Linked DNA regions of Kluyveromyces lactis. The main gene of each other region encodes a partner of the protein of the gene in region 3 in a complex. Links are inferred from orthologs where the notes say so. Each region holds a gene or a part of one and is shown on either strand. Other genes may lie near its edges.

Region 1 (2,970 bases), on a different chromosome or scaffold from region 3:
CTAGGCTGTGAATAAATGCAAATTACGTTGACGTTCGAATTAGTTTATTATACACGTTTAAATGAAATACCCGATGTGCTAATGTTACTACATAGAAGTTTCGTTTCGTTGTACTTTAAAGACTTTTCACTCTTTTTTCAAAATAAGGATTTATGGAGCTTCCCTTTATTATTATAAGAAGAAACTAGAAAAAAGGAAAATGGGAGTTTCCTAATGTAAAAATCCTTTAAAACGTCCAGTCGTAATCGAATGGAAAGGCTGACAGTAATTGGCAGATACCACCTGTTCAAATGCTAGAGTAGTTCTCTGCACAGTCAAGTGGAAACATAGGTTTATTACCTGAACATCTGTTAGAAAATGGCCTTTTGTTTTTGTTTCATCTTCATCAGTAAATATAATGCAATGTTAAGTGAAGTAAGAAATGGAGAGAGGACATGCAAAGACTTATAGGTATCGAAACGCTGTATACACGTATAACAACAGGAAGCAGTAGAAGTATATCTTTTTAATTCCTTTTTTTTTGGTTTCACTTTAAACCATCTATTCGTAATCGGAGTCTTCATCTTCGGAATCTGATCTACCTTCTAATTCCTTGGATTCTAATAGTGCTTGTAATTCAGCATCTTCAGTGGCGGTGACAGCCTTTGGAGCCATTGTGACATTACAGACACCATTGTACTTTAGAATGACTTCTTCGATCTTTGCGATAGCAGTTTCCAATAGTTGAACACCTTGATCTTTGTCCAAAGATTGGGTGGTGATGACGTACAATGGGGCAGCCACCAATTTGACTTTGATTTGCATTTGTTCAGTGGACAACTCTTCAGCAGATTTTAGGGCTTCTTTGATAGCATCAATACCCTCGTAACTGAAACATGAAACCTCGACATCTGCTCTGATCTTGACCGCTTGTGGGGTCAATCTTCTGGTGATTTGGCCCTTCAATTCTTGGAAAATTTCGTCGCTGATAGATTCAATACCATCCCAAACGTTAGGGTCCACAATGGACATCTTGTAGGCATCGTAAGCATGACCGTACTTTCGACTTAAAGGCCATGCATAAGCTTTGTACAAATCTTCCAATGATACTTGGTATTTCTCAGCACATTGTCTCAAGATGGAATGTACGGCCTTGGACTTTTGGTATCTTTCTTCACATTTGATGACATCTTCTGCAGAAACACGACGCTTAGACAAATCAATATAACCCTTCTCCTTATCCACTCTTAATACAACGACAACTTCATTCTTACCAACACGAATCAACTTTTGGATAGATCTAATACGTCTTCTTGACAATTCAGATAACAAAACCATACCTTCAATGTTGTCATATTCCAATAATCTAACGTAAGCACCCATTTCAGCGATTTGTTGGACGTTTACCATCACAACATCATCAACTTCAGGGAACTTGTTCTCGTAAAACCTACAATTGGAAGTGGACATCCTGCTCTGTATATCTAATGGCTCTGATGATAAATTCTTGTGTAATTTTTCAATTGGAAGATATACCACAAACTCAAAGAAAGTATACTCTGTTTGTAATCGTTATCTATCGCAAGATACAGATAAATTAAATTCCTCGGTATCAGAGACTGCTCGCGTAAGTTCGAAGCTTAATTGGAAACCTTTGTATACCGATATTGAAATTGCTTTGTTGCTTCAATATTGTATATGCTTTCCAATGATCAATCTTTTCAATTTTTTGATACTTCGCATCACAGTTTCGAAAAATTTTTAGATCTGCTCGTTAAGAGTGATGTACTACACGTGACCTAACTATTATAATTAAGTTTCATTACTTACTACTAATGGCCCTCAGGTATTAAGCTGCAGAGATACTAACTACCAGTAACCCATACTAGATGCGATCGTGCTAAGAAGCGCCAGAAGATTGATTTTTTAGCCTCGTTTTGATTGTTTTGATGTGTGCGAATCTGCGAGACCATGTAGAACAGTGTTCTGACGATACGGACTCGTGCCAAATTTGTGCGAATGTGTTTGCGACAGTACATAAATGCCTGACATACGCTGCGAGGCGCTGCCTATGCATGATTTTGAAGTGGGATGTAGAGAATATACCAGGAACTTCTTTTGCTCTGTAAATCTTCACCTTATAGAATTCACTCACAGAGTCTTTTTCATCTTTGCCGTTCCACATTGGTTTGATGACAAGGTTTATGAAATTGAATTGACTTTTGATTATGTCAAACGGGAACGAGTCCTGTTTTCGTTCATCGTAATATATGTTGATAAAGTTATTACCAACGTGTCTTTTTTTCATTGTTCGATCTGGATCTGCTTTGTCGTCGTTAGGCATTAGGGATACAGTATGGAACACGATTTGACATTTTTGATCATGCCAGATCAACGCGTACTCTCCATCTGTACCAGGATTCAAACCGCCGATGTAAAAAGTTTCATTTTGATCAAGTTTTATTATTGATCCGAGTTCGTTAACAAACCATTTGTATTGATGGGATCCATCCTCCATAGAGTGTGACAATATATCCTTTTCAGTTGTGTCATTGGGTCCCATGTATAGCAATCCAATCTTGTGAAATTCGACCACTGGGATAGTATCAACAAGCTGAATAGACTTTATCAAGTGGGGTTCTTCGATCCGAACCATGTCTTCGTACGTATCTTCTGCACTAAATTGTGCAAGAACATACCCTGGCGTGAACATATTTGCAGAGGCGGGTTTGGTGTTTTTACCAAATTGGAATAAATCAAAACTGTCAGGTTCCTTCTTTACTATGGGATCCACATTGAAGATGGAATTTCCGGATGCACCTCTAGTGACAACTAATGATGCTCCGGTTGTAGTGTTTACTTCTATGCTTAAGATTTTACCATCTCGATACCAGTATTCATGTAAATAATGCGGATCTCCACTGTTGGGAGTATCTGAAGTAACTGTCTCCACTCTTAATTCTAAATCTGTAGTAGTAAATCTAGTAACAA
Region 2 (2,808 bases), about 150 kb from region 3:
AGTGAAATATTCGCCAACTTGAACGATTCAAAACGGGTTACAGATTTAATTACAAAATGGATGCTGTCGGATATGTCGGTGAATTCGTGGTGTCCTTCTTTCCGTAAATTGATCGAAAATGCACAGATATGATATTTTAACTGGGGGAAGGGTTTCAGATTATAGAGCTTAAATTTAAATTGATCTTTTAGAGCATTGATCTCGTCGTTTTGTTTATAACAACTAAATTACAGATTAGATAAAAACCATTAGATAACATACACAAACAGAAAAAAAATTAATAATGAACGTGAAAGAAGGATGAAGATACCTTCTATTCTCATTTCTTTTCAAGTATTTGGTGTTATTCATATGTTATGTGTGAATTGCACGATGCGATGCTCCCTGGAGAAAATATTCAACCATGAATATATTAGCTATGCCTTATGAGGTTTATTTGATTCCTTTCGAACTGTATCGTATTGAACATTAGAAGATTGTCGAAGTTTTTTCTGATTTTTCGGTAGATGTTAATGATACTACTATTTTGATACGTCATATCAATTAATCTACATTCTCTTTCTCTTACCGACGGTGGCTTGGAAACCGGTCTTGATGGAGGAAACGGATCTAGTAGAACCGCAACTCTTACAAACCAAGAAGAACAATCTGTTCGATTGTTCCTTCTTCAATACGGTATTGATACTCTTACAAGTCTTACAGGTGACATATTCCAGAATATACCTTCTTAATAGATTTTCCATTTGCTTTGGCAAGAACTTACCCTTGATGACCAATCTCTTTTGACCGTCAACAGAACCTGAGGTACCCAATTCCGCAAATAGATACTGGATTACATGTTCTGGGGATCTTTGTAATTTTTCACTAATTTCTTGGATGTTCGCAAATATAGTCTTCTTACCATCTCTTTGACAGATTGGTGGAGGGATCTTGAACTTTGGACCTGATCTATCACCGGCCAATTCAGGATTATTTGTGTTCAAAATCTTAAAGAAACGAGACAATAGGTCTTGGTATGGTAGGCCAACATCTTGTTGAATGCTAGAATCGATTTCAGTTGGAGTGGCCTCCTTGGCAATATCATCGACTGAAATACCTGCTTGTTCTAATTGCTTCTCAAAGTCATCCACACTGCTCTCGGCAGCAGCAGCCTTCTTCTTCTTTTTCTTCAACTTCAATTCGCCTAGAGCATCTGAAATGTCGTCCACTTGCTTCTCAGTGGTTTCTTCACCTTCCTTGCTCTTCTTCTTCTTCTTCTTCAAACCAGCAAAAAGATCATCTGTTCCCTCGGTGGAAGCAGCAATCAGTTCTTCCGGAACTACCTTCTTGCTCTTCTTCTTCTTCATCGTTGGATCGAATCCTAAGTCGGCCGCAACATCAGTCATCGTTGAGTATCTTTGTATCTTCTCGCTTCTTGCTAATCTCCTTAGTAATAACGGAAAGGGCCTTGAACTTTACACGAACTAGACTCTTGCCAACAGATTTCCACAGAAGTTGTCTTACCCTTGTGCAAATATGAGCTGAAGAATCCAATAGGATATTGAATAGCGATGACAATTGCGATCCAGTCGTTTCAATTCTCTTGGTTTTCCGAAAACTCACTATTTTCAAAATTTTCCCAGGCCACGCGATAGTGTTGTCATTGTGCACGTTCAGTGTTCGGGTAACACACGTGACTTATCTATTCTTTGGCCTTTGAGTCTGGTTAGATAAAACTCCGCTTGTTGGGCGCATGAGGTAGGTGTACCTATGTTTATTGATGATTAGTATACAGTTATGTACATGGACATTTGGTTCATATTTTATGCTCAAATTGGCCACAATACAGCTTTCCAGCCGAATGATTTTTTTTTGACCACGGTTCATTTTCAGAGGAAACTTATTCTAGTTGAAGCTTTTCAGTTTGCTCTCTTAGAGCTTCTGTAGCTTCTTTGGTCACTTGTTCAATCTCTGTACCTTCTCTAAATTGGACGTTGTCGATAGATGCGGGCTGTGAGGCTTGTTCTCCTTCCTTTTCCGATGAAGTTTCTTCCTCATTTTCGGTCGATTCGGGTTCCACGTCGAACTTCTTCAAGTAATATGTTTCTATCTCTTCTTGTCCGTTGTTTTCAGCTTCGTAGATGGCATCATGGTCGAAATTATTCCTGATGAATGGATCAGCCTCATACTCTTCACAAAGAAGCTGTACTATATCCAATTTACCATTCAACGAAGCCCAGTGCAATGCAGTGTTACCTGTTTCGTTTTGCTTGTTGACCCATTCCTTTAGTTTATCCTTTGGGAAAATGCTTAGTAGATATTTTACCACCTCGAAATGACCGTTGGCGGCTGCCATATGCAAGGCAGATGACTTAGACAATTCATCTGTACATTCAATGAGTGCACTTGGATCTATCAAAGTGGTAAAAATATCCTTAAGAGACTCCAAATCTCCAGCTCTTGCATCAACGATGATAGCTTCTTGATCTTCTTGATCTAAAGGTCCTGTATGTAGACTCATCTTACAATAATTTCGTTCTGTATTTTGGGCTTGATTGCGTAGTTTTCCTGTTCTCTGTTCATATCTTAGCTCATCTCATCTCATAATCCAAATTCTGTGAACTTTTCAATTTTTCATGTTAAAAGGTTACTTTTTCTTTTTCTCCGAAATAGATGTGCTAAAGGCTTTAAATATAATTCAGGACATCTCTGAGCACCTCTCTTTAGAACAACATGATCACGCCTACATCGGGAGAGTGTCAGCTGCGCCTTCAAGACCTGACATCGGTTTCACAAAATGTCAAATAAATTGACAGAAGTATTATCTAG
Region 3 (3,680 bases):
TGGGGTCTCCGTATCAACTTAATATTGATCATAACGTTAGAGAAACAATTACTGGAATAATATTCCACCCTCAGTCTCCAACTAAAACTGCGTTCGACACTTCAGGCAAGGAAAATTGTTCAAGAGCCATTTCGGATGCATCTGTTAATAGACCCTTAAGCCTCGATCCTGCTGCCCGGAAGAAATGCGTGGAGCATAAAGTACAATCCCATAGTAACACGTCAATGCCATTGGCGCCGACACCTCTTAATAAGGGTACTGAGTCATACGTCATTATTCATGCTATATCAATGTTGAAGGATTTGTATCAGTTACTGGAAAAAATCAGAAATACCGTATTTATCATGATGAAGAACGACTCTTTGCCCAAATTCCTGGCAACAGAATCGTATAGGGACGCAATTTCATTAATAACTGCTAACAAGTAGAACCTAGGCATTTCATCATGAAGAATAAAGATATTCATCTTGCAAAAGAATGTGGCCTTTTCTACCAAGAAAATGGAACATTAATGTGACAATATATACATATAGACATATATAAAATCATTTAGTTAATTTACAGATTAAGCGATTGGTTCAAGAGTGGTACCCTTCTTGATAGTAGCCCAACCAATTAAACGCCAATGCTTTTCGATACGTCTAGATAATGCAATCTTTTCATTAACTTCTGTACATGCAGGGGAAGTTAATTGTAATCTTGCCATATCGGCTTTGACGGCAACCACACGGGCACCAGTAGCGGTGGAACCGATGTTCACCATTAAAACTTCATTTGGCTCTAACTTTCTAACCTTTGCTTGTTTTTGACCATCGGTCTTTACACCTAATAGACGACGCAATAGGAAGTAGTTAATTTCGATATCGGTGTAGATAGATGGCAAATGGCCCTTAGCACCAACGACTTGACCCACTAGACGATCTGCTCTACATAACGTTGGATCGACCTTAGTACCAACACCAATCAAACCACCTGGAACGGCGAATTTTAGGTCGTTGTGTTCAGCAAATAGGGAAACGATATTGGAGAAAATTGGCTTACATTGAATCTTACCATGATCATCTTTAGTGACGATACCTGGTCTAATTTCGATCTCATCGCCTAATTTGAAAACACCAGTCAAAATGGAACCACCGGCAACACCACCCTTCAAATCTTCGATTTCGGCACCTGGCTTGTTAACATCAAAGGAACGAATGACAATCAATCTCGGAGACGCTAAGAAGTCTCTTTGAGGAACAGGAATACTTTTCACGATGAATTCATTCACAGCATCAATGTTATATTTCAATTGGGCTGAGATTGGAACGATTGGAGCACCATCAGCGATGGTACCTCTAATAAATTTCAAAATAGATTTTTGATGTTCCAGAGCAGAGTCTTCTCTCATTAGATCGACTTTGTTCTGTAAAATGATAACGTGCTTCAACTTCATAATTTCGATAGCAGCCAAATGTTCAGAGGTTTGTGGTTGAGGACAGGATTCGTTACCTGCGATTAGAAGTAGTGCTGCATCCATAACGGCAGCACCAGACAACATGGTAGACATTAAAATATCGTGACCAGGACAATCGACAAAGGAAACATGACGGACTAGTTTATAACGTCCACTGTAACCTGGAAGATCAACCTTTGGTGCAACTTCTTTGTCAGATCTGAAAGACTTATAACAGTCTGGTTCTGGGCATTCTGGATCTTCTGCTTTATAGATTTTGGCATTGGCGTAACCTAATTTAATGGTAATATTACGTTCTAATTCATCCTTGAAACGAACGGTTTGAACACCTGAAATAGCTCTCACAACGGTAGATTTACCGTGAGCGACATGACCGATAGTACCAATATTGATAGTGGCTTGTCTATTGATAATTTCTGGTGATAGAGGGTTCAACTTGGAAAAATCTGGGTTCGTTGGTTGCTCTGGAAGACCACCACCTTCTTCAAATTCTCTCTTTCTACGTTCTTCATCCGCTTCCACATCATCAATCCCACTGAAAGTAACAGTCTTCTTAGGCTTCACTTCATCAAAAACTTGCTCCTCTTCTTCAACCTCAAATGTATCTATTGGCTCATCATTAAGATCCCCATTGATGACAATACTTGGCTCTTGGTTTTGCAAATCAGACATCCTGAACTTTAGGTATTATAAACAATCAGAAAAAACTATCACTAGATATCCTTTTTGATACTTTCCCAAATACTGCACCTGGCCGTTCTATTCTCTGGAATTAAACTCGGTTGCTAACAAGATCTTTATACCTTTACACCTTCATTACTCATCGAGATTAATCATATCCACATATATCTACTCAATTCTGTTGAAACTGATTTCGAATTTGGCATTCTTACAATTCAAAAAAATTTTCGATACAAAGTAACGATTTCGTACAGAAAGAGAAATCTGGTGGTATTTTCGATCACGTGATTATGTTTTAAGTACTTGGAAAATGTGCATAACGACATCTGGTTTTGCTTAGGTTTCTCGCCAGTGACAGGTTAGCAGTTGGTGTCATTTCGCAGTATCAATCTGTTAACCGATGATTTAATTCGTCTTATAATAAGTATTTATAGAAATATATAACCAATAATTTAATATTACAACGTCGGATTGAATGCGAATTCGTTCATTAGAATGTCGACATCTTTCCAAACAAGATCTGATTCCCAGTTGTCCCATCTTTCCGTAAGACCTGGAGAAATTGAGGGCGTATCTTCCTTTCTGTTTTCAGTTCCTTCTGATATTATCGATTTTGTAACGGACTGGAAGGATTGCGGTATTGGTGGCTCCAACAACTCATTTAAGGACTGCGCAGCAGGATTGATCTTTCGAGTCGGTTTACTATGATTTGACGGACTTGAAACCCTAAATTGTGGGGAGTTCGTTTTCTTGGCGGTGGTAGAATGGTTTATGAGTTTATTGTCTGTGACGGCGTTCAAAGGATTTAGAGATCTGGGATAACCGCTAGTTTCAACATTGGAAGCACCAGCATGTGTGTTTGTAGGTGATACTATGATATTGTTGCTAGGGGAAGATGAAGATGGCATTGTACCATTTTTCTGTTTCTGCAAAATCTCGTCCTTTGGGGACGTTTTGTTTAGGATTGATTTCAATGACAAAACGTCACTACTATGTGAACCGTTCGGAGATGTAATATTGCTTCCACTGGACTGCTGTGCATTGATGGGCTCTGGGTCAAGTGGAATGGTAGATATAATCCTTCTGGCATGTTCTTCGGAATACCCATCGTTGGGCAGTAGTTCTTTGGACTCTGCATCTCCGTTATGGTTATCGCCACTATTTTCATCATCAGAGGAGACTGTCTTTTCTCTTTCTCTCTTTAGTTTTGCCATACCGCACTTCTGTCTTAATATGAACAAGCAGTCAAAGAAAACACTCACAGACATTCTAGATCTTATGGTAATACTCAAGTTAAAATCCTTTTCTGACTGTGTTGAAGAGGAACTTTGGTCTTTCTTCGCTTTCCACTCTTCGAACATGTTGCTGAACATGCTCCATATACTTCTCATAATACCAGCTGATCTATAAGCCATATCGTACTTGAGGACAGAAGCATTCGAAATTAATGATACAGCATCTTGATAAACTTCATGACCAGTATCGACATCGATAATTGAGCCCAATGAGGAATGGACTAGCTTTGATATTATTGATGCTGCCT

The links.
Region 1: the proteins of GCD11 (region 3) and SUI2 are in contact, whole or in part, in a cryo-EM structure (PDB 6I3M), measured with the Saccharomyces cerevisiae proteins. The link is inferred for Kluyveromyces lactis from reciprocal best matches to the Saccharomyces cerevisiae genes GCD11 and SUI2. Residues at the interface, in NP_010942.1 of Saccharomyces cerevisiae: Asp322, Asn324, Lys325, Pro326, Gly327, Ala328, Glu329, Ile330, Glu331, Leu333, Lys334, Gly335, Ile359, Ile373, Phe374, Lys401, Val402, Asp403, Pro404, Thr405, Leu406, Arg408, Arg411; in NP_012540.3 of Saccharomyces cerevisiae: Val190, Ser191, Cys192, Phe193, Ser194, Tyr195, Gly197, Ile198, Ile201, Lys202, Leu205, Lys206, Glu209, Asp210, Val220, Leu222, Val223, Ala224, Ala225, Pro226, Tyr228.
Region 2: the proteins of GCD11 (region 3) and SUI3 are in contact, whole or in part, in a cryo-EM structure (PDB 6QG0), measured with the Saccharomyces cerevisiae proteins. The link is inferred for Kluyveromyces lactis from reciprocal best matches to the Saccharomyces cerevisiae genes GCD11 and SUI3. Residues at the interface, in NP_010942.1 of Saccharomyces cerevisiae: Gln248, Val251, Asp252, Met254, Arg255, Glu256, Ala259, Leu260, Gln263, Leu267, Ala278, Ile280, Val281, Pro282, Ile283, Ser284, Leu287, Tyr289, Asn290, Asp292, Ala293; in NP_015087.1 of Saccharomyces cerevisiae: Val127, Gly128, Tyr131, Ser132, Leu134, Leu135, Arg137, Phe138, Phe139, Ile141, Leu142, Arg143.

Annotation. Positions count from the first base shown.
Region 1 is NC_006037.1:1,020,005-1,022,974, reverse strand, and holds SUI2 (translation initiation factor eIF2 subunit alpha), read right to left. Parts: upstream 1,450-2,970; coding exon 541-1,449; downstream 1-540. Other genes in the region: KLLA0_A11792g (uncharacterized protein), read right to left, coding at 1,880-2,970. UniProt on the Saccharomyces cerevisiae protein: eIF-2 functions in the early steps of protein synthesis by forming a ternary complex with GTP and initiator tRNA. This complex binds to a 40S ribosomal subunit, followed by mRNA binding to form a 43S pre-initiation complex.
Region 2 is NC_006040.1:750,520-753,327, reverse strand, and holds SUI3 (translation initiation factor eIF2 subunit beta), read right to left. Parts: upstream 1,386-2,808; coding exon 549-1,385; downstream 1-548. Other genes in the region: ADD37 (Add37p), read left to right, coding at 1-132; YAR1 (Yar1p), read right to left, coding at 1,880-2,500; RTP1 (Rtp1p), read left to right, coding at 2,777-2,808. UniProt on the Saccharomyces cerevisiae protein: Component of the eIF2 complex that functions in the early steps of protein synthesis by forming a ternary complex with GTP and initiator tRNA.
Region 3 is NC_006040.1:897,731-901,410, forward strand, and holds GCD11 (translation initiation factor eIF2 subunit gamma), read right to left. Parts: upstream 2,129-3,680; coding exon 566-2,128; downstream 1-565. Other genes in the region: GTPase-activating protein SST2, read left to right, coding at 1-428; leucine-responsive transcriptional regulator LEU3, read right to left, coding at 2,596-3,680. UniProt on the Saccharomyces cerevisiae protein: As a subunit of eukaryotic initiation factor 2 eIF2, involved in the early steps of protein synthesis.